Arabidopsis thaliana: one gene and its partners. The protein of the gene in region 4 purifies or fractionates together with the protein of the main gene of each other region. This does not show direct contact. Each region holds a gene or a part of one and is shown on either strand. Other genes may lie near its edges.

Region 1 (4,055 bases), on a different chromosome or scaffold from region 4:
TCTCCACTTCTTCATGGTGGGATTTGCTCCTCTCACCTCTCGTGGATCTCAGCAGTACCGTAACCTCACTGTCCCAGAGCTCACTCAGCAAATGTGGGATGCTAAGAACATGATGTGTGCTGCTGACCCAAGACACGGTCGCTACCTCACTGCTTCAGCCATGTTCCGTGGAAAGATGAGCACCAAGGAGGTCGATGAACAGATGCTGAACGTACAGAACAAGAACTCCTCCTACTTTGTGGAATGGATCCCTAACAACGTCAAATCAACCGTCTGTGACATTCCCCCTACTGGTCTGAAGATGGCTTCAACGTTCATTGGTAACTCAACTTCGATCCAAGAGATGTTCAGGCGTGTCAGTGAGCAATTCACTGCTATGTTCAGGAGAAAGGCTTTCTTGCATTGGTACACAGGTGAAGGTATGGATGAGATGGAGTTCACTGAAGCTGAAAGCAACATGAACGATCTTGTCTCTGAGTATCAGCAGTATCAAGATGCAACGGCTGATGAAGAAGGAGAATATGAAGAGGAAGAAGCTGAGTACGAGCAAGAAGAAACTTATTGAAGAAACAGATGATAAGAACACCTCAACTTCCAGTTGCTGTTTACTTTTAAAACTCTCTTCTATTAAGTTCTTATAGTTTCTGTAACTATCGCTTGCGTTATTAGTAGTTATGATACTCTGCGTAGGCTAAGAGGATTTATCAATCAATATTCAAACAATCTATTTTGCTAAATCAAAATCCATCCATAGTATTTTTTTTCTTTGTTTCATTATATAACCTTTTGTTAATTTTGACTATGTGAATTCGGTGAAGACTTCACCATCTTTCAAATATAAGAAGCAGAGTAGTAGTGACAATGGTTATAAGCAATATAAGAATCTTCTTGGTTAAATTTTGGTGTGGATTATGAATTTGACGAGTCAATTTGAAGGACGAATCTGGATTTAAGATAAAAATAGTATAAACTCCATAGGAGAATACAATGGTTATCAGTTGTTTTCAATGTCCATGGACCCAAATAGATCCCTCTGCCTCTTAAGCTCTTCTTCTTCAGCCTCCTCCTTACGCTTTTGTTCATCCTTATACTCAGCAACAGCCTTATCAAAAACGCTTCTCACATGTCTGTTCATTTGCATGAGCTCTTGACATGCATCTTTAAAAACCTCTCTTGCTGGATCACCTAAAAGCCACAGAGCCAACACGTTTTATGTTGTTAGACACACAGACAAAGAACTCGGATAAGAGTTATCCAAAAAGAACATAGCTTAACTCTGATGAACAGAGTTTTTGAAAAACAGTACCTGTTGTCTGGACCCGGATATTGACCTGTTCAAGGGAAGGATGTGGGATGGTGTATGCAGCCACGGTTACTCTGGGACTGCAGAATTGAAAACAGTACTGGTTATTGACATAATCATCATTGTCTACACACCAGCATATCAACTCCATCAACCTCAAAGATAAGATAATGTGACATTCATTGAATACAATGAGAATCTCTAACAACATAACATGAATGTAAACCAACATTTAATCGAACTCTCAAGTTTCACAATCACAATATAATGGCGAACTTAATGGACCAAACTCATCCAACGAAAGATATCGGAACAATAATGCCTCGTCACTGCTGTCTCTATCTAAGAGCTAATTCTAGACTATCTTTTCTAGTCTCTAACCACAGAACATGAATCTGAATCGAACTCAACCTTCACAATCACCTTATAATGGCACAAACATACAATGTGCACACTGATTATTCAAACAAAATTTGATTATCTTCACAATAATTCTAACCAAAAACAAAGGTAAAGACAGGTAAGAGATTCATTCCTAATGAGGGAAACTATGAACTCAATAATCAGAATTTGAGAGTGTCACGAACTAAGTATGAGATTATAAAGCTAAAGCCTTTCTCTGTGAAAGTGTATAGCTTCTTCTATATATATACATAACAGATTCAAAAGGATTGAAAGAAGAAGATACTTACTCTTGGTTTAAGACGAATCTAACAGCATTAGCAAGTGTGTGATCTTCTTCCGATAAAGTAAACGAAGCATGACTAACATTCGTGAACGAACCGTGCTCCATATCTCACCTTCTTGCTACTCAATTCCTTAACTCAAAATCAAAAATCCACCACCAACTAGAAAACACAGAAAGAGAACGACTTCAATTGAAAGCTTTGAATAGCTAAACAAACCCACAAAGAAAAACTCGAAATTGAAGAAAATTTCAGCAAAAAAAGTTGAGAGAGTAAGAAAGAAGATACCTCCAATAGAAATTTGCTAAAACCCTAAAAGCTTGATTAGTCGGCGACTTTTAGTCGTGGAGAAGCTCAGATACTTTAGCGTAATTACATCTATACCCTTTCGTTTGATGACGTGGCGTGTAATGTCTCTTAAACCCTAATTCGGCTGTGTAGCAAAAGAGAAGCCTTTGTTGTGTTCTTTACCTCTCTTCACGAAATCCCATTTGAGAAAGTAAGGATTTATGATCTTCAAATTCAAGTATGAATTATAAAGTTTCGATTTTTACGAATCATTAATTTTGTATTCAGGTACTGCTAAAAAAATGGCTTCTCCTATTCCCGTCGGCGTTACTAAGGAACAGGTTCGGTTTATTTGCTCGTCCTTTATTGTTAATACATCGTAAAGCTCCGATCTTTGATCTAATTAGACAATGGAAGCTTAAGTTTTTCTAGCTGTCTCTGTGATGACATATAGGTTTCAATGTTTTTGCAATGCTTAGGGTTTAAATTGTATCGTGATTCAGATCTTTAAGCCATTTATTAGATTTGGATTGGTGTTGTCAAGTTTCTCATTTTGCTTTTTTTTTTTGGTGTCTTGGATTTGAATCAGGCGTTTAGTATGGCACAAACGGAGATGGAGTATCGCGTGGAACTCTTTAACAAGTACTGAATCAAACACCCATTTGGTTTATCTTTCGTTATGAAATTCGATTTTCACTTGTGATTGCTTATCTGGTTTAATTTTGTTTTGATCACATTGTTTAGGGCTTCACTTATTTTCAAATAGTGATATATATAAGCTAGAGGAGTATAAGTTTGAGACTGCTGATATGTCGAAAATCCTTAGGCTGCCTGAATTGTTTATCTTGAGGAGGAAATCTAAAATCTTTCTATGAGGAATTCTCGAGTTCTGTGCATATGTATTCAGCTGTTATGTAGAGTTTAAACTTTGATAACATATGACTTAGGTGGTGTTCTGTTAATATTCATTTCCCCGGGCCATTTGTGATTCCTCTGGTTAGAGATTATGAAGAAAGTCACATCTTTATATGTGTTTCTTTTCCTTCTAATATACTTTGTGGTCTATTGTGATTCCTCGGGTTAGAGACTATGCTGACAGGCCTTGTTCTTGTATTGCAGGCTTGCTCAAACATGCTTTAATAAATGTGTGGATAAAAGGTAAACTATTTCTCCTTTTGATGTTCTATAATTACGTCGTGGAACTTGTCTGCAATTGTTGAAACTTTTCTTAGCTGAGAGATGAGTAAGTTGCACCTGTTTTGAGATTCTTTGCCTAATTCTCAGGTACAAGGAAGCTGAGCTAAACATGGGTGAGAATAGTTGCATCGACCGTTGTGTTTCCAAGTACTGGCAGGTAAGGCTCTCTGATACTTCAACAATTAACAATTTGATACTTCAAATCTTCTCATAGTTGACTACTATTATTCAAATTCAATGCTTATGTTCTTTTTCATTAAATTTGTTTTCAGGTAAATGGAATGGTTGGACAGCTTCTAAGTGCTGGCAAGCCTCCCGTGTAATCCAGTTTAAAGGCAATTATTACAGACCAAAAAGCTCATGGAGGGAACACAACTCTGTTCTTTGTTTTTCTAAAGTTTAAGGCAATCTTGTTTTTATTGTCAAGAAAGTTGCATCACATTTTTGGCGCTGATTTGGACAAATTATGCAATTCCATGTGAACCCATTATTATTACCTAAGGGGTGAAATGAAATAACAAATCGAAAATAACGAAACACATCTATATTACCAAGTTGTTGACTTTGTATTTTTACATTGA
Region 2 (4,317 bases), 2.2 Mb from region 4:
GACGAAAAAAACATGAACTTCCAAAATGCCATTAAAATCGTAAACTTTTGTTTGACTTTTGATAAATAGTCAAGTTTTGTTGACTTTGCCATTTTGAACATGTCGTTAAGTTTTCGTTAACAAAAAGATAACGTGATTAATTTTCTGTTAATTTTTTCTGTTAAAAGCGAAACGACGTCGTTTTGAAATTAAAGAAAAAAACAAAAAACAAACACCAAGTAGAGTTGAACTGGTGACCTTTTAGGTGCTATTGAAGGACTAAAACCATTGAGCCACGTTAACTTTTTAGAAGTATAGTAAACATATACATATATATATATATATACGTAACTAATTAAAAATAACCAACTAAAATAAATCAATAATATAGAAAATTACCTAAAATTTACACAATCCTTCTCATATGAATATAGGATTAATCTATACATGCACATAGAATTTCATTCAACTTCACTTTATATATAATTTTATTTATAATAAAACATATATTTTATAAATTAATTTGATAAATATTTAATAAAAGAAAAATATAAGATCATTATTCCGTCTTCAAATCAATTTTTTTATTCATAATTAGATGGAAAGTATATAAAAAGTTATTTTTTGGTAATATATTTATAGGTGTTATATTTCACAAGTTTGATTTTTATATAATTTAAGAGAATTTTTTTTTAATTCAATACGTTTAATAAAAAAATTTACATTGTTATTTGAGAATATATATTAATGGTAGGTGTATTTAATATTTTTACATGTTTAGTTATTGTTTTTATAGTTCGGTTTTTATTTGGTAGGTGCATTTTTATAATTTACATCATTTTTAATATTTTTATTTGCCATTTTGGTTAATATGGAGGATTTGGAAGAGCCGGAATGATTTAGTCTTCAACAAAAAAGCAATCGCTGTCGCTGATGTGATAAACCAAGCGATAATGGACACGAAAGAATGGCTGGATGTTAAGCATAAAAATGATGACAACGTCAAAGGGGGCCAAACCAAGTCCTCAAGAACGGACAAATGGCAAAAACCAGGAGCAGAATGGGTCAAATGCAATTATGATGTCTCTAACCATGCGGGAAGACAAGACTCAGGCCTCAGATGGATTATTCGAAACTCACAAGGAACCTGTTTGGACTGCGGCTGCGGGAAATTTCAGGGTCGACAAACAATAAAGGAAGCTGAATGCACTGCCCTCATATGGGCAATACAATGCGCTTGGGATTTGGGATATAGGAGAGTAGAATTTGAAGGCGACAACATCACAGTTAATCGCCTTATTCGAAACAAAGAAACTAATCCACGACTTCGATACTATTTGGAATTCATTCAACAATGGAGCAAAGCTTTCACCACTGTGAAGTTCACATTTCGACACCGGGAACAAAACGTTTGTGTTGATGTTCTGGCGAAAAAAGCAGTAGCTAATCATATAAATCATACTCTATATCATTTTTGTCCTAGATTTCTAATGTCGTTTGTAAACAAAGATGCTGAACACGTGAATTAATAAAGTTATTGGAAGGAAAAAAAAAAAAAATAGTTCGGTTTTTAATTAGTTTTGCGTATATATATATATATCAGTTTTCATTAATATCGAAATGTTATCATAGCATATTGGTTGAGCGCTTGTGATAATTTAGGAGGTTCACGAGTTCAATCCATTCTTGGCGCAAATTTTAATATATTTTTATTTTGAAACGACGTCGTTTCGCTTCTAACGGAAAATGTTAACGAAAAGTTAACTCCGTTATTTTGTTGTTAACGGAAATTTAACGACATGCCCAAAATAGTAAAGTCAACGAAACTTAATCATTTTATCAAAAGTCAGACGAAATTTTATAATTTTAGCGGCATTTCGGAAGTTCACGTTTTTTTTATCCCAAATTTAAAAGTTAATGATTTGGTTTGATTGAAATGTCCGGTTCTGGTTTGGTTTTCTTTTGTACCGGTTCTCATAATAATAGCCACGTATTAAAAATTTATTAGTAATGGATTTGGGCCAGACCCATTCTCAAAGCCCAATCAATTTCTCAGTGAAACATATATAAACCTAATTAAAGTGAAGCAGAAGTTGTATTCTTCTTCTTGCGAACTCGCTGAAGTCTGAAAGATGCAGGTTTGTCTCTCTCGATTCGAAACCCTAGTTACTTTTTTTTGTTCTTATCTCTAATTTTATACAATTTCTTGACGATTAAGCTAAGCGTAGCTGAAATCTGGGAACAATTTGCTTTAGTTCTTGTAAAGGTTAGGTTTTTAAGCAGCAGATAGTTATGTAATCTCACTTTTTTGTTTTTGTGCAGGCAAGTGATAGGTTTAACATAAATTCTCAGCTTGAGCATCTTCAAGCTAAGTATGTTGGTACAGGTCATGCAGATTTGAGCAGATTGTAAGTATTTTTCACTTTTTGTTTGGATTTTTCAGGATTCCAAAATTGTGAACTTATTGAAAATTTTGAATGTTTTTGTGTTAGTGAATGGACTGTGAACATTCAGCGTGATAGTTATGCTTCATACATTGGTCACTACCCGATGCTTTCTTACTTTGCAATAGCTGAGAACGAATCTATTGGTCGAGAACGTTACAACTTCATGCAGGTTTGTTTACTATCTTTCTTCTTGCATCATGTCAAGGAATCATATTGAGAATGTTAATGTGTTAGTGTCTTAAGGGAGAGGAACAATTAGGGTTGTTTCAAACAGGGTAAAGTGTTCCTGCTGCTCCCCTCTTTAGCTTGGAGAAGCCAGTAAATATCTTTCTCTTCAAGGAACTTGTGGGCCTCAAGAAAACCTGCTATAATTCTAGTTTTTCAACATTCCTCCTTCTGATATCAGCAACAACTCCTTACCCTTAAGAATGGAGAATGGAACTTCCTCAAAGATATTTACTTGGCCTCTGCAACCGGAAAGGGGAGCAGCATGAAACTCTTTTAACCCTTACCCTGTATTTGTCAAAAACAGATTGTATCATATCGTAAGTTAGCAGGAAACTACCAATCTTGAGGGTTGTTTCAAACTGTTATCTTCTGGTTCTTCTACACTCAAGAGTCAATGACTTTGCATTTTTGCTAATAGCTTTTACTAACTCCAAACTTCTTTGATTTTTTTTTTGCAGAAAATGCTCTTACCTTGCGGCCTTCCTCCAGAAAGAGAAGACGAGTAAGAGCTTGTGTGCATTTGAAATTAAAAAAAACATTCTACTTCTTAGAAGCTTGTGTGCAATCTTCTTTAACTGCTCCACCAATGTAATTGCCGAAAAGGCTTCTTCTTGTTTCTAGTTCATAATGCAGTTGTTGATCATGATCTAAACATTTGTACTTTGTTATAGTCTTGATACAATTGTCAAACTCAAAGTCTTTTTGCTACTCGAACAACTATTGCAAAAGAATTGAATTGAACAAGTCATAAAAAAAAGAGGTTAAAAGTTGGAGTATTTAAATGAATGACGAAAATAAAAATCAAACCTTTATGTTTGCTAATGGTGAATCTCTGAGAAGGAGACAAAGATGAGTTCATCAAAAGCCCTAATCAAAACCCTGATTAAGAATCCAACTCGAATCAAATCCAAATCTCAAGCGAAGCAGCTTCACGCACAATTCATCAGAACTCAATCACTCTCTCATACATCAGCTTCAATCGTAATCTCAATCTACACAAACCTTAAACTTTTGCACGAAGCTTTGCTTCTTTTCAAAACCCTTAAGTCTCCTCCTGTTCTAGCATGGAAGTCAGTAATCAGATGCTTCACCGACCAGTCTCTATTCTCCAAGGCGTTAGCTTCGTTTGTGGAAATGCGAGCTTCTGGGAGATGCCCAGATCACAATGTGTTTCCTTCTGTTTTGAAATCGTGTACGATGATGATGGATTTGAGATTTGGTGAGTCTGTTCATGGGTTTATTGTTAGGCTTGGTATGGATTGTGATTTGTATACTGGTAATGCGCTTATGAATATGTATGCTAAGCTTCTTGGTATGGGTTCTAAGATTAGTGTAGGTAATGTGTTCGATGAAATGCCTCAAAGAACGTCCAATTCTGGAGACGAAGATGTAAAGGCTGAAACTTGCATTATGCCTTTTGGAATAGACAGTGTGAGGAGGGTTTTTGAAGTGATGCCTAGAAAGGATGTTGTGTCGTATAATACTATCATTGCAGGGTATGCACAGAGTGGAATGTATGAAGATGCTTTGAGAATGGTTAGGGAGATGGGAACTACTGACTTAAAGCCTGATTCTTTTACTTTGTCTAGTGTGCTTCCGATATTTTCTGAGTATGTGGATGTTATTAAGGGGAAAGAGATTCATGGGTATGTGATTAGGAAAG
Region 3 (5,120 bases), on a different chromosome or scaffold from region 4:
AGAGTATATCTCATAAGATGTCTCTCTTGTATAAATACTATACTTTGTGAATCAATAAAATCAAGTTAGTGCAATACCTAAGTCTACATACATCACCCAATTTACATTGATTTATTTAAGTTTTTTTTTACTCATTTACTAATCGTACCAATATGTTGATGAACATTTTTGGATTTAAACTGTCAACAAATCGTGTACTAGCGCAATATTATCATATTATCACTTTGTTCTATCTTATGATCTCTCGCTTGGACAGATTCTGGAAGTGCATGTAAAGGACCTGATTTTATAAAAGTTCAAACAATTTAAAAAAGAAAGCATCCATTTACTTGTGGATCTCCCGAACGCTTGGTAACGTCGATACATGGAACACTTGTTGATGAGTCTTGAGAAATCAAGCTCATACTTAATAACCAGTTTACATGTCGTTAGTAGATCTTCTCGATGAACTCATGAACACAGTGTGAAATTCATGAGTTTCTTCTATATGGTAATTTAGTAGGATAGCTAATGTTCTTCTATGCTATATTAAGCATTTTGTTTTTACTTTCATTTTCAATATGAAAATTAACATGTGTCTCTAAAGGTAAACGTGTTAGGACCATTCATCTTGAGTCAAGTGATATTTCACATGCATGGGAAACAAAACTTATTGATAATTGTATACAATGACTAAAGTTTTATAATGTTTATGAAACTTTCGGATTGTATACAATGACTAAAGTTTTATAATGTTTATGAAACTTTCGGTATTGTTAAAGTATTATGATGGTCAATGAAACTAGGCAAAAATAAGTCAAAGAGAATAAGAAAAATTATCCATAAGTAAGCAAGCTTATAATAGATGCGTATGATTATATCAACTATAGTGTTTATAGGCTTCCATCGTTGACGATATTACATTATTTATAGTTTAGATTTTAGAATACGTTTGATGAAATGGCTTTTGGTTTAAGTGGCCTAAGCTTTTTGCTTTTATTTGTCCATTTGTCACACCCGTTGTTTTCTTGTCGTTTGGACATCCCACGGTAAGAATTTATGTCGGGAACTTTTAACAAATCAAACTAGGCATGCAATAACGGTTATGTCGGATTATTCGGGTTTTTGGATAGTTCAAAAATTGAAAATTTTGATGAATTTGATTAAAACACGAAACCGTGTAAAACCAACCTAAAAATCCAAGGTGTTTTGTTTTTTACATTCAAGAAAAGCAAACTTACACAGACAAAGTTGTTTTTTAACAGTCATATAAATCTCTACCAGAAGATCAAATTGGACAGTTTTTAAAACTCCAAACCAACATTCCATCACACGAGTTCTTGATAACTTGAAAGACAAATCGAATCCTCATGTCACCTATTCCTCTTCTCTTTCCGGAGGAAGGCCGCAGGGTAATAGCATTTTCTGGAAATCAAAAGACATCTCAAGTTATTCCAAAACATCATCACATCTACAAAGTGTAACCAATTTTTTGAGCAAAGAACACCCCACAAATATTCATATTTTTCTATGCTTTTCGATTAACCCTCAAGAAGACCATATATTCAGATATAAGAGATCGCTATCACAAGATTATTCAACCATGTAAGAGACCTGTTTCATGAAAAAACTGAAAGCCAAGGCGAGCTCACAACTGTTTGTGAAAGGAACTAAGCTTCCATTAATTTGAGAATTGAGGACAAATGAAAACATTTGAGTGAGAGACCACACCATAACCTAATGCTCTATAATCTAATTGTAACCTACACAACTGGAGGCTGCTGAATGGTCAGTGAAATGTGAAGTCCATAGTCTAGGAAATCAACATATCACGACAAATAGAGAAATACGCCATTGACAAGACCTAAACTAAAACCATACAACAAATCAATGAATCTGAAAAGGAAAAGGAATGAGATATACCACAAGATAACCACGAAATGATACATTCCTAATCGACTACACATAGAATCATAATCCAAACCTTGAACTGTAGATTTGTCACTAGATAAAGGATGAGGCAAAAGGAAAGTACAGAATTTTACTGATAAGATTCCTATTAACACAGAGAATAGGAAGCAAACCTACATGAAATTCTAACCTATCACACATTTCAACCATGCAAGAGGCGAATAAACCGAAACCAACCGAGTTGAGTAAGACCATGACCCAACGCTCTCTAATATAATTGTATCCTACAGAACTAGAGGCTGCTGAAATAGTCAGTCAAAACTGAAGTCCATGGTCTAAGAAATCAAAATATCACGACGAATAGACAAATACGACATTTAACAGTAAACTAAAAACCATACAACAAAGCAATAAATCTGGAAGGCAACATAAGTTACATAACCATATGATACGCACCTAATCAAATAAACATAGAATCATAATCCAAATCTTGAACTGTAGATTTGTCACTAGAGAAAGTAATATGCAAAAGACATGAAAGGAGGCAAACCTGCATGAAATTGTAGCGTTCTCGTCCAATAGACTCGTTCTCAGCAATAGCAAAGTATGAAAGCATAGGGTAGTGACCAATGTATGAAGCATAACTATCACGCTGAATGTTCACAGCCCACTCACTGTACCATTTAAACCAATTCCACAAATTAGTAGCCAATAAAAACAATGCATATAAAAATTTGAACACTAAAATCAAAAGAAACTCACAATCTACTCAAATCAGCATGACCGGTTCCAACATATTTAGCTTGAAGATGCTCAAGCTGAGAATTGATGTTAAACCTATCACTTGCCTGCAAAAGAAAAAAACCCAAACCAAAAGATGTTAAATTTAAAGCAAATTGTTCCCGATTTCATCTATATATGCTTTATAAGAAACAAATCGACCTAATTTCGTCTAAGCCAATTCTCTTCGACATAGATAAATTAAACAGACAGAGAATCAAAGGTAGAAGAAGCTAATTAGGTTATTTCTTCTTCCAATTTACCAACAAAAGCTAGGGTTTCGGATCGAGAACATACCTGCATCTTTTTCAGAGTTTCGCAGCAACTAGAAGAAGAAGAAGAAGAAGAAGAAGAAGAAGAAGAAGAAGAAGAAGATCTAAACCCTATCTTTCTTCAAGTCCTTTATCTGCTAATTGTTTTCGGTTAATATTTAAATCCGAAATAACCGACCGGTTCGTTCGGTGTACCCGAAGTAGTAGATCATAAAATGAAAACGTGGTCGTTTCACATAATAAAGAAGTTAAGGCAAGAAGCTTGGAATTTGGCTAACAATTGTGGATTCTTTAATCATTATCAATCTACAGAATACAAACAAAAGTGGCTGTAGTTTAGTGGTTAGAATCCCACGTTGTGGCCGTGGGGACCTGGGCTCGAATCCCAGCAGCCACACTTAGTCTTTTTTCTTTTTTATACTATTTTGACATTTGAAGAAGGTCTCTTAAGGGCCTACGAATACTCATAGAGGTACATTTGTTCTCTACTTCTTTTGTATGCACTTTTTAGTCTTCAGTCTTCACACGCAATTGGTTCCAAAGGCCTACATATAGTGTAGACTGTAGACTTTTAGCACCAAATCTGAGGTGCCATTAAGCCATCTGTTTCACTCTTGAGTGTACTCAATTAAACACATTCAGTGAGAACAGTTTTTCAGATTGGCGCTTTTTCTAATCTAATAAATAGTAAATACTTTTGCTTATAGCATTAGAGGGTGAAGATTTCATCTTGAGGTTTAGTAGTACAACCAAGTTTTGATTAACCAAAAAAAAAAAAATCAAATACCAAAGCTCACCTTCTCTCCCTGTGAAAATAAATAAACAAGCCAATTCCGAAAAGAATATTTACTTTTTCACTTTTCTATGTTGAAAACAATTAAACAAATCCATCTTTCTCCTCTGGGAGAGCCTTCGCTTCCACTGGAGAGACTGTACTTTGTTGAAAAACCCCTGCTAACTCCAACTTTTAACAGTCGTTTAGAGAAAGCAAAAGGCTTTCAACGAAATCAACAACACACATGTTAATATAACAAGAGTCTTCTGGTTCAGGCTGTGCAATGTGTCAAATGAAATTCACCCGGATGAGCTCGACTTACTACCTTCTTTCTCTGGATCTTCAATCTGCGTCGGTAGTAGATTCAAAAAGCTTCCTTGGTGGGTTGTTGTCCCACCAGATGTTTCGTCTTCTGTTAATTTAGTTTCCACAGTTTGGTTAGAGAGAATCAAACATGGATCGTAATCATCTTGATTTTACAAATAGCATACAAACAGATGATTTACCAAAGAGAGATTTAATAGACGGCCTTTTTGGCTTATTGCTCTTCTTCTTCAACTCAGCTGCACAATAAAACAAATTACAAATGCAGCAAACATGCGATGATAATCACAAGGTAATCTAGTATTGTTGCTTCTTCCTCAGCAACGGAAGGGGGGTTAAGTGAATTACCTATCCCTGGTATTTGGTCATCATTTACGATTTCTACGTTCTTGTAAGTATAACCAACAAAGTTAATGTCTTTGGATGAGAGCATCTGGAGAAGAAAAAAAGAAAGCCAGCGTCATGTTATGAAATTCACAAGAATCCTTTTGGTTCATGACATAAATTCTATTGACAGAACAGGTTCTAAGTTATATCATGTTGGTCCAAAAAGATAAGTGATTCATCTAACACACGTCAACATGCAGAACTGGCAGATTAACAACATAATTCTGTTAGTAGCATCCCAATCAGCTCCAAATTCTAAATTACCATAAGAAAATTTGAACCTAAAAGAGTGAATCACGTTTTTGTGAATATAGTACAAAGATAGAAACGCCTGTGACAGAAACTGAGCCAATTTCATCATTCTGAGCTCTTTGTTGCATGTAATATTTTAAGCTACGTCTGTAGTATCATCAAAGAACAACATATCTCAAGGAACCCACTTATAGATAAATTTTGAAGTATGATCACTCTTCTATTAGATAAAAAAAAAAAGCTTGATGGTACATAATGCCAAAAAGTCAGTGCTTATGCTGTACCTTTCTCCATGGACCTGACTTGGCTGACTTTGGAACTTGCTTGTCAGTCTGTTCCAGAAGGAATCAAAGAAGAGTATACATTATTTTCCTTATCAGGAGCATAAAAATCATCTGTGATACCAATATTTCAGTATATACATCATGCCACATCATTTG
Region 4 (8,292 bases):
CTTATAAGCAGAGAATCGCCTACGAATAGCACGAAGTGTTTCAAAGGCATCATCTTCTTCATCGTCAGATAAACCAATTGGAGGAAGGGACACATCCATGGACAATGACAATTGGCTCTTAATACTCCGAATCATCTCGAAATCATCTTCACTCTCCGAATCCGAGAGCAAGGACAAACCCATGGGAGGACCACTGCTTCTACCCGCATCCTTGGAAGATGCTAATTGGCTCTTAATTGTACGAAGCATCTCAAAGTCATCTTCGTTTTCTGAATCCGACGGTATCTCTCCGCCACCGACTCCTTCCGGTTCAATTGAACCGGTTTTTGACGCGAATTGATCGGAATTAACGTCAGAGACCATACATGCGCGTCTTAAATCTTCGAGGTCTTCACCGATGTCATCTTCTTCGTCATCGTCATCATCGTCATCAGCTTCGTATAGGCTGTTCCGATTCATCGCGATACAGAAAGAGAAATCCTTCTTTATGAAAATGAAATTGAATCAAATCGAAGAATGAGAGAAACGGCTCCAAGCCAAGGGTTTATGCCTCTAGAAGAAGAAGACGATGAATGTTTTCCTAATACTTAAGGTTTTATTTATGTCTGACCAATTTAACATTGGCGGCATCAGTGCAAACGGGCCGGGTCTGGGTCGGATCATTATAAAACACATAGAAAACCAGATATAAACCGGTTAGCGTTGACAAAAGAACTGATTTTTACAAAATCCGATCATCATTTACGGTTAAAGAGTCAACTCTTACAAAAGCAACACTTAAGATTTAGTTCAGTGGCTTGGTTTAACGATTTCTTCGTTTCGGATAACCCTTACAGAATCAACCAAACCAAAACCAACACTAACCAGAACAGGGATTGAAGCAAACTACACATATCATCATGGTCTTAAGGCATTAAGCTATTTACATAATAATGACGGGGAATCAGCAGAGCTTGGTGTCGAAGTTGAGAGTAATGCCCATGCTGAACAGCTCCTGACAAAGAAGCTTAGCTCCATAAGGAACATAGACCCTAACCACATGGTCGGAGGATGCGCACACTCTGCAATATGGCCCTCTGATCTTTCTTCCACTGCTTGGAGTCCTCTCGATCACATTCGCATAGGTCTTGCATTTTCTGCAGATGTGCATCTGAGAAGAGTCACTTAGAGTGAAGAGCCGCTCGTGCAGATTAGCGGATGCACCGTGAGCTATTAGGCAGTCTCGCTCCATTTCTCCAAATCTTATCCCGCCAAACCTCTTCCGGTCTGCGACTGGCTGGCGTGTGAGCGGGTGGACTGGTCCGGTGTTCCTGAACTTGACTTTGTTCTCTGACATGTGGACAAGTCGCTGGTAGAAAGTTGGGCCCATGAATATCAGAGAGCGCATCATCTCACCCGATCTACCATTGTAGACCCTTTCGTTTCCCCATCTTGAAAAGCCGGCCCTAACCACAAATATTTACCATTGGCAATCAACAATGATCTAAGAAAGGTTCAACGAATCATACATAATCACAAGGCTCACAGCATCAATCCTCTAACTAATTATATACTGATACATGGCTTTTGAGCCCATTCTGTGTATCCTCTAGACGTTTTGCAGGCACAATTTAATCAACCAGAGAACATCCAACTTCTTAGTTTTTTTGGTCTTACAGAGATATTTGCCCGTCATATAAATCATGCTCACTTCTGGTACTAGGAAACAAAACAAAGATCCACTATGACATGTTTCAAGTAAGGTGCTCAAATCTAGCTTAGTGCCTTGTGCAGTATATTAGCTCGATTTGCTGGTATTATGCATATCATGTCAGCTTTTGAGCCAAAGTCCCAAAGTTCAAACATCTCCAACCAGGCAACATTATTAATAATTAGTTCCTACCCTTAATGATATCATCCATCTGTACTCCCTAGGAACCAAATGTCAATCTGTATTGCATATAATTCAATATTCTGTTTTACGAGCTAAAAACCAAGTGACAATGTGAAGAATGTACCTGTGAAGCTGCTCGGTGATTTCAGTGACACCCGGAGTGGAGAAAGGAGTGGCATGACGTGTCAATTTGGTGTATGCAGCAGAGCTACCCTCCTTCTTTTGTATAGGACAAGCGATTCCTTTGGAGAGAGCAGCCTCCAAGAGTTGACCTGGTGTCTGCCTAGAAGGGAAAGCGTGCGGGTTTATCACAATATCAGGAACTATGCCTTGGATCGTGAAAGGAAAATTCTGCTGTTCCTCTAGATAGCCTAAAACACCCTTCTGGCCATGCATACTGGAAAACTTATCTCCAAGGCATGGAGAACGAACCTGCAAGATGTAAAAGCCAATCAATGGAACATTTGATTCATCATAAGAATGCATTCTCTGAAAAACAGCTCGATTCAGTATGATCTGGAACTTACCTGTCTCAGAGAAACCGCTGCAAAATTCTTCCCTTCATCATTAGAAGATAATACCACTTTTTGCACAATTCCTCTCTCAGTGTGCTTGAGCTTTATACTGTGATCAGCCCCAGACTCGGTGCATCTGCCAATGACAATATCGCCAGTACTCATGTTAGCACCAATGAAAGGAAACCCGTCATCTTCAAGGCTGTCTACTTTGCCGATTTTGCTGTATGTCTTTCCAAACTGAACAAGCTCATCCATCTTCTTCCTCTTCTCCGAGTCTTTAGTATCAACCTCTGCTTTGTAGCTTCTAATCTGCTCTGAACGGAACATACCACGTTCCAATGAAGCCTTGTTCATCACAATGGAGTCCTCTTGGTTGTACCCGAGATGAACATTCACAGCAACAATTGCGTTCTGGCCATTAAATAGAACTTCTTTTTCAAGACACTCTGACGCCAATGTCTTGAAAAGTGGCTTTTGGGGATAGAACAGCTGCTGGGACAGCGTATCGCAGCGGATGTTAGGGTTCGTTGATGAGAATCCGATGGCTTGTTGGCAATGCTTCTGAGACTGGTAAAGAACTCTTTTCCCATGATCGTGATTTGCAAATGGGACAATTGCACAGCTCACACCCAACAGGAATGATAGGTCCAATTCGCAATGCGTGTAATTCTTTGGTTCCTTCAGAAGCTGTTTGATTCCCCATGCTGTAGTACAGTCTTCTTCTTCCTCAATCCCGATCAGCTCGAGAATCCCTTGGTCAAGAAGATGCTTAAAAGGATACTGTGTAGGTTTGTCTTGCTTCAACTTGTGGAGATTTTCCACAACCAAGAGAGGTCGGAGTAGTCTACCAGCGTCAGTGAAAATTCTCACCTCATTGTCATCTTTATCTCGCTTGATTTCCATCTGCAGATAACGTTGTGATACATATATGTAAATAATATTCGACATAGGATACTTTCTGAAGCAGAAAAATCCAAAGCAAATAATCAAGTAGCACAAGAATATCAAAATATAGCAAAACATTTGCTGAAACAGAAGATACCTCGAGAGGTAATTCACTTTGGCGCCGCCTGCTTTTTAACTCCCCGACAAAGGATTCAGAATCTGCACATAATCCAACCCAGTCTCCATTGAGAAGAACTTTGTGTTTGCCACACAATGGTGTGCTGGTATCATTCATCAGCTCTTCCATTCCGCAAGTAAAGAGCATTTCCACCACAGACTCCAAACCTTGAGTGCTAACAAGTCCAAGAAGAGACATGTTCTTCACAAGACCACAATTTTCACCATCTGGAGTTGACAAAAAGCATACTCTGCCCCAGTGAGAAGGATGCCTGTGGCCAACATTAAAAACAATGCAGCCATAGTTCAGTTTCCCAGCACGATTTAATTGTGTAACCGCTCACATTGAAAAGGAACCAAAATGGATAATCTCAATACATGCATCAGGACAACAGATAGATTGACCAAGGGACAAAGAAACAAGAAAGACAGTATCAAAGTTTCTTAATAGCAGCAACATCTATACAAACTCAATATTATAAACCGACGAGACTCTGCAGAAACTGTGATCGCCATCGTATACTAAATAGGTTAATATGAATATCTTTAAAACAGTCTGAAGACATGTAACATTGAGTAAATGCAACCATATCAGTTAGTTAAAGTACGTGGGATATATTTCAATATACCAGGGGAGGTGGAAATTTTCACTTACGGATGTCTAGCATCTCCAACCTTGCCGGTATAAAGGACTTGCTGTCGCGTTCTCCTCAGATCAATCAGAGTCTGCAATGGATTTGCACGACCCAAATTAGCTACAACACCTGAGACCCTTTCCATCTTCCTGAAAGGATGAGACCATGCTCCAGTGGAGAAGGCTCTATTAAGCCCATTGGTGATAACGGAAGCATCCAAATAATGCTCTATAGGCTTCAAATCGCCATCGCCTGAGAGTTGTTTCTGCATGGCCCTGGTCATCTTTCTTCTAGCATGTGCAAGATGCACCCTTATCTCCCTCTCCAACAGTTCTCCAGCGAGCTCAATTCGTTTATTCCGGAAACTGTCCCTGTTTTCACATTTTCGTTTTCCCGCATACGCGCTCAAAAGGCACTTCACCATATAGCCCAGGAATCGGGCTTTCTTCTTCAAACCTTGGAGGCATGGAAACAAATACAGACGGAGGCAATCATCCACACTTTCAGCAGGAGGGAATTTGGTGCTTTTGATCTGATGTTCAACATATGTTAGGGCATTGTTCCCACAGCGAAAAGCTTCACACACTGCATCAGCTTCATGGATAGAAGCTATGAGACTGTTGGTAATGCTTGCATCATCACCATCGAAAGCAATTAGATCCATGGCTTCTTTGTCTGATGAAACACCCAACGCAAAGAACAGGAGCCAGACTGGAATCTCAGTCGACAAGAAGTACACTGTCAGTACTTTCTCCATTATCTTATAGTCTTCTGCTTTCTCATTCTCCGAGAGGCGCACAATGAACCTATTTCTTTTAGTTTCGGACCTGAAGGAGACTGTCCATGGTGAATTAGAAATCCACAATCTCTTTGTGCACATCTGTTCTTGAGCTATAAACACCTGCAAGACAGATTATAATCACGTTAGGAAGTTGTATAACAACTTGAAAATATTTTTTCCAGTATATATTAGAAAAAGAGAACTAATTTCCACTAAGCTATACACTAAAATAGTTCAAAATAGAAATCCCATGATAGTGGATATGCAAAAAGATCCCAAAATGGTTTAACTCACCTTCTCAGCCCCCTTTATCACAAAATATCCACCCTGATCAAAGGCACAATTCCCCTTTTTGCAGTTTTCTTTTCCTTTCTCGCTAGTTTTGCAAAGGACAGATTTCACCATGACAGGTATGCTACCAATTAGAATGTCCTGTTTTTTGACATCCAGTATCTCCTTCTCGACATATTCATCTTGTCCAGTCTTGAATTTGTCGTGTTTAATAACAATTTTTTTGAACACCTAGTAATTTATAAAGTGAAGATGCAGTTAGACAATAAACTACATTTACAAGAATAAGATACATGGACAGCAAAACAGAAACATCATCAAAACTTTGACTGTACAAGAGTCATTGCACACAAGCATGAAACACTCAATTAAAGAACAGTGAGGGAATGGGGAAGAACTAAATAAATAAAAAGCTTAAGATGTTTTTCTTTTATATTTCATACCATGTGGTATTCCACTCTCGACTACATAGACATATTGCATAATGTTGAACTAGAAAGTGATAGTTAACTGGCCTTTCTGAGTTTTCAAGCAAGGGAAATCATTCATCAAATCCAGACAAGCTTACTTAATTTCGACAAAGATTTTGTTAGTTTAGTTACCTCAACTTGGGCATTGACTTTGATCCTTGCTGAGTATGTCATGTTCTGAAGCCTGCATGCCATGGGAGAAACTCAAGCTCCTTGTCATCCGAAAAGAATGTAGGCTTCTCCAAAGTGACTTTTCCAAATTTCACCGTTGCGTATCTCCAATCGCCATCCTTCTTCTTTATTACATCAAAAGACGGTTCCACAAGAATGTCACCAAAGGACTCAAACACATTCTGAAGCCCGTGTTCAATGAAGAAGTTGTAGGAGTTAAGCTGATGACTTATAAGTCCAAACTCTTCAAAGAAAGATGTCGCAGCTTTTTTGCAGAAAGTCTGGAGAAAACTTTCTCCTAGCTCAGAAATATTGATCTGCCCAGCAGACTCGATCTCGTCAACATCCATCTCATTTATGTCTATCTCTGGTATACCTCAATACACACTGAAACAAAAAAAAAAAAAAAAAAAAAAAAAAAAAAGACAGAGAAAATGATAAGAAGCCGTGAAAAACCATGAACCACGAAAATGCATCATGCATGTTTCAATCAATGATGAATACAAACACGAAATCAACAATCTTTCCCCTAGAACCGAATCATTCTCCAAAAGAGAGGAAACTAAAGCATATTCTCCGGAATTGTCCAATGCTTAAAAGCAGAATCAAAGCGTAACACCTAAAATGGGTACCTCGATTGCTTAAGCTGGCACGATTGAGTAAAACGGCGGTAGTAAACGTCGCCGGGAAATCGATGAAGATGCGGAGAGATTCGCCGTAGACGTCGAAAATAATCAAAACCCTTGGCTCACTTTTTCAATGGTTAAGCGAGCAGTCGACGAGTAGGACTGTAGGAGTGGCGAAATCGAGTGGCACTTGTGGAAATGACAGGTATGTCCTTACGATGTTTTAGCGTTAAGTGGCTAAGTGCGCTTTGTTTAGTACAAAGTAAAGAAGGGTAATTACATCAATTCGATTACCAACTTTATGCTTGCAAATTGCAACTTTATAAATCTATAATGTTCAAAGACCGTTATGTTCTAAATGCATATAAACTCACAAAATTGAAAAGGACAAGAGTTCATATTTCATAGTGCAAATTTATTCTTAAACTTTTATTTTATTTGTGTTGAAAAGTCAAAGAACTGAAGAAGGAGAGAGTTCAAGTTACAATTCACCCCCCTTATAATAAACAAAGTGACTAAACCGGCCCCATTATTTCTTCAATCATCAATTCCAACCTTTTTAAAAACTAAATCCACCCGGCATTGATACATTGAGATCATTTGTTGTTTCGTTTCAGAAGTTGCTTAAACCACTGAGCAGACATCTTGGGGTACCTCTTCAATGTTTTGTAATCAACATAAACGATCCCAAACCTATACAATAAACAAAAACAGATATTAATTATAACCTTGATTTATTCTACATATCATACATTTGGTATAAATTTTTAAGTACCTTGAAGTATATCCTGATAACCATTCGAAATTATCTAGCAATGACCACGCAAAATATCCAACCACATTGGCTCCATCATCCCTAGCTTTCTTAAGGTTGGTTAAGTAATCTTTGTAATACTTGATTCTCGTGGTGTCATGTAGTCCTTGAGCTAGAGTAACGTTTCCCGGGTCATCCATACCTATAAAATATGTTCAAACATTTATAAAAAGCTCTAAAATTTATAATAATCTTATAGAAATATAACAAAACAAAAAGAAACTTGATTGAAGATTTTAATTTGTTTCTTTAATACCGTTTTCAGAGAGGATCATAGTAGGGTTGCCGTAACGTTCCTTCATATACATCAAGGCCTTGTACATTCCCCATGGTACGTTGTATAACCAAGACGAGTAAGCCTATAAGATAAGTGGTTTATTTAATAACTTAGACACTTGTATATATATTGCTTAGGGAAAAAAAAAAACATATAATCAAGTGTATATCTCACCCTTGGACCTATTGGCTTCCCCAACTTAGCAACTGCAAGTTAATAATTGTCACGATCAAAATCTAAAGACTGTAAACAAAATCCAAAATCTACATATCGTTATGAATCTTCCAATAACTTACAGCCAAATTCCACATTCCAATCTTGTTGATAACCCAAATCCTTAGGTTTGGTGGTGGGATGTGGTTCGGACATGTAATAAGTCGTGTATTGGTTTATTCCCACAAAATCTATGGAACCTTTCACCATTTTCACTTCTTTCTCCGTGAACTTTGGAAGCCTCTCTTTCACAATGTTCTGCATTGTCTTTGGATACTCTCCATATACTAATGGGTGAATAAACCTTCAAGCATGACCCGAAAACAAAAGATATTCTATAAGCTCACCAAGACTTGATGGTAAAATATGAGTTTTTATTTGTTAAAAAGTTTTAACATTTACCATCCGATATGGAAGTCTCTTGCTCTTTGAGCTGCAAGATTATCTGCTTTACTTCTAGTAAGCGGCTCATACCAAACGAAATCTAAAAGTATCCCAACCCTTCCCTTTTGTTTCGCCTGGAAAATTTTCATTAAGATTAGTAGTACACTGGCAAAAGAG

Evidence for each region.
Region 1: the proteins of NRPD2B (region 4) and RPC14 fractionate together in Arabidopsis thaliana (co-fractionation; one large-scale study listed by BioGRID). This does not show direct contact.
Region 2: the proteins of NRPD2B (region 4) and AT3G23325 fractionate together in Arabidopsis thaliana (co-fractionation; one large-scale study listed by BioGRID). This does not show direct contact.
Region 3: the proteins of NRPD2B (region 4) and AT4G14342 fractionate together in Arabidopsis thaliana (co-fractionation; one large-scale study listed by BioGRID). This does not show direct contact.

Annotation. Positions count from the first base shown.
Region 1 is NC_003071.7:12,640,768-12,644,822, reverse strand, and holds RPC14 (RNApolymerase 14 kDa subunit), read right to left. Parts: upstream 1,996-4,055; 5' UTR 1,536-1,995; coding exon 1,307-1,535; intron 1,186-1,306; coding exon 995-1,185; 3' UTR 879-994; downstream 1-878. Other genes in the region: TUB7 (tubulin beta-7 chain), read left to right, coding at 1-565; TIM10 (Tim10/DDP family zinc finger protein), read left to right, coding at 2,580-2,618, 2,867-2,919, 3,044-3,115, 3,397-3,435, 3,562-3,631, 3,747-3,797.
Region 2 is NC_003074.8:8,343,697-8,348,013, forward strand, and holds AT3G23325 (Splicing factor 3B subunit 5/RDS3 complex subunit 10), read left to right. Parts: upstream 1-2,073; 5' UTR 2,074-2,111; coding exon 2,112-2,117; intron 2,118-2,301; coding exon 2,302-2,387; intron 2,388-2,471; coding exon 2,472-2,595; intron 2,596-2,670; exon of another isoform or gene 2,671-2,960; intron 2,961-3,112; coding exon 3,113-3,160; 3' UTR 3,161-3,446; downstream 3,447-4,317. Other genes in the region: AT3G23320 (Polynucleotidyl transferase, ribonuclease H-like superfamily protein), read left to right, coding at 933-1,508; AT3G23330 (Tetratricopeptide repeat (TPR)-like superfamily protein), read left to right, coding at 3,504-4,317.
Region 3 is NC_003075.7:8,252,433-8,257,552, forward strand, and holds AT4G14342 (Splicing factor 3B subunit 5/RDS3 complex subunit 10), read right to left. Parts: upstream 3,173-5,120; 5' UTR 2,974-3,172; coding exon 2,968-2,973; intron 2,739-2,967; coding exon 2,653-2,738; intron 2,565-2,652; coding exon 2,351-2,564; 3' UTR 2,068-2,350; intron 1,405-2,067; coding exon of another isoform or gene 1,357-1,404; 3' UTR 1,104-1,356; downstream 1-1,103. Other genes in the region: AT4G14350 (AGC (cAMP-dependent, cGMP-dependent and protein kinase C) kinase family protein), read right to left, coding at 4,017-4,129, 4,224-4,280, 4,390-4,474, 4,965-5,012.
Region 4 is NC_003074.8:6,192,856-6,201,147, reverse strand, and holds NRPD2B (nuclear RNA polymerase D2B), read right to left. Parts: upstream 6,633-8,292; 5' UTR 6,434-6,632; intron 6,189-6,433; 5' UTR 5,826-6,188; coding exon 5,763-5,825; intron 5,392-5,762; coding exon 5,164-5,391; intron 4,990-5,163; coding exon 4,109-4,989; intron 3,726-4,108; coding exon 3,434-3,725; intron 3,295-3,433; coding exon 2,401-3,294; intron 2,306-2,400; coding exon 1,998-2,305; coding exon of another isoform or gene 1,946-1,997; exon of another isoform or gene 1,930-1,945; coding exon of another isoform or gene 1,911-1,929; exon of another isoform or gene 1,446-1,910; coding exon 944-1,445; 3' UTR 724-943; downstream 1-723. Other genes in the region: MYB4R1 (myb domain protein 4r1), read right to left, coding at 1-459; BGLU44 (B-S glucosidase 44), read right to left, coding at 7,024-7,120, 7,203-7,383, 7,498-7,600, 7,693-7,724, 7,815-8,035, 8,134-8,249. UniProt on the Arabidopsis thaliana protein: DNA-dependent RNA polymerase catalyzes the transcription of DNA into RNA using the four ribonucleoside triphosphates as substrates.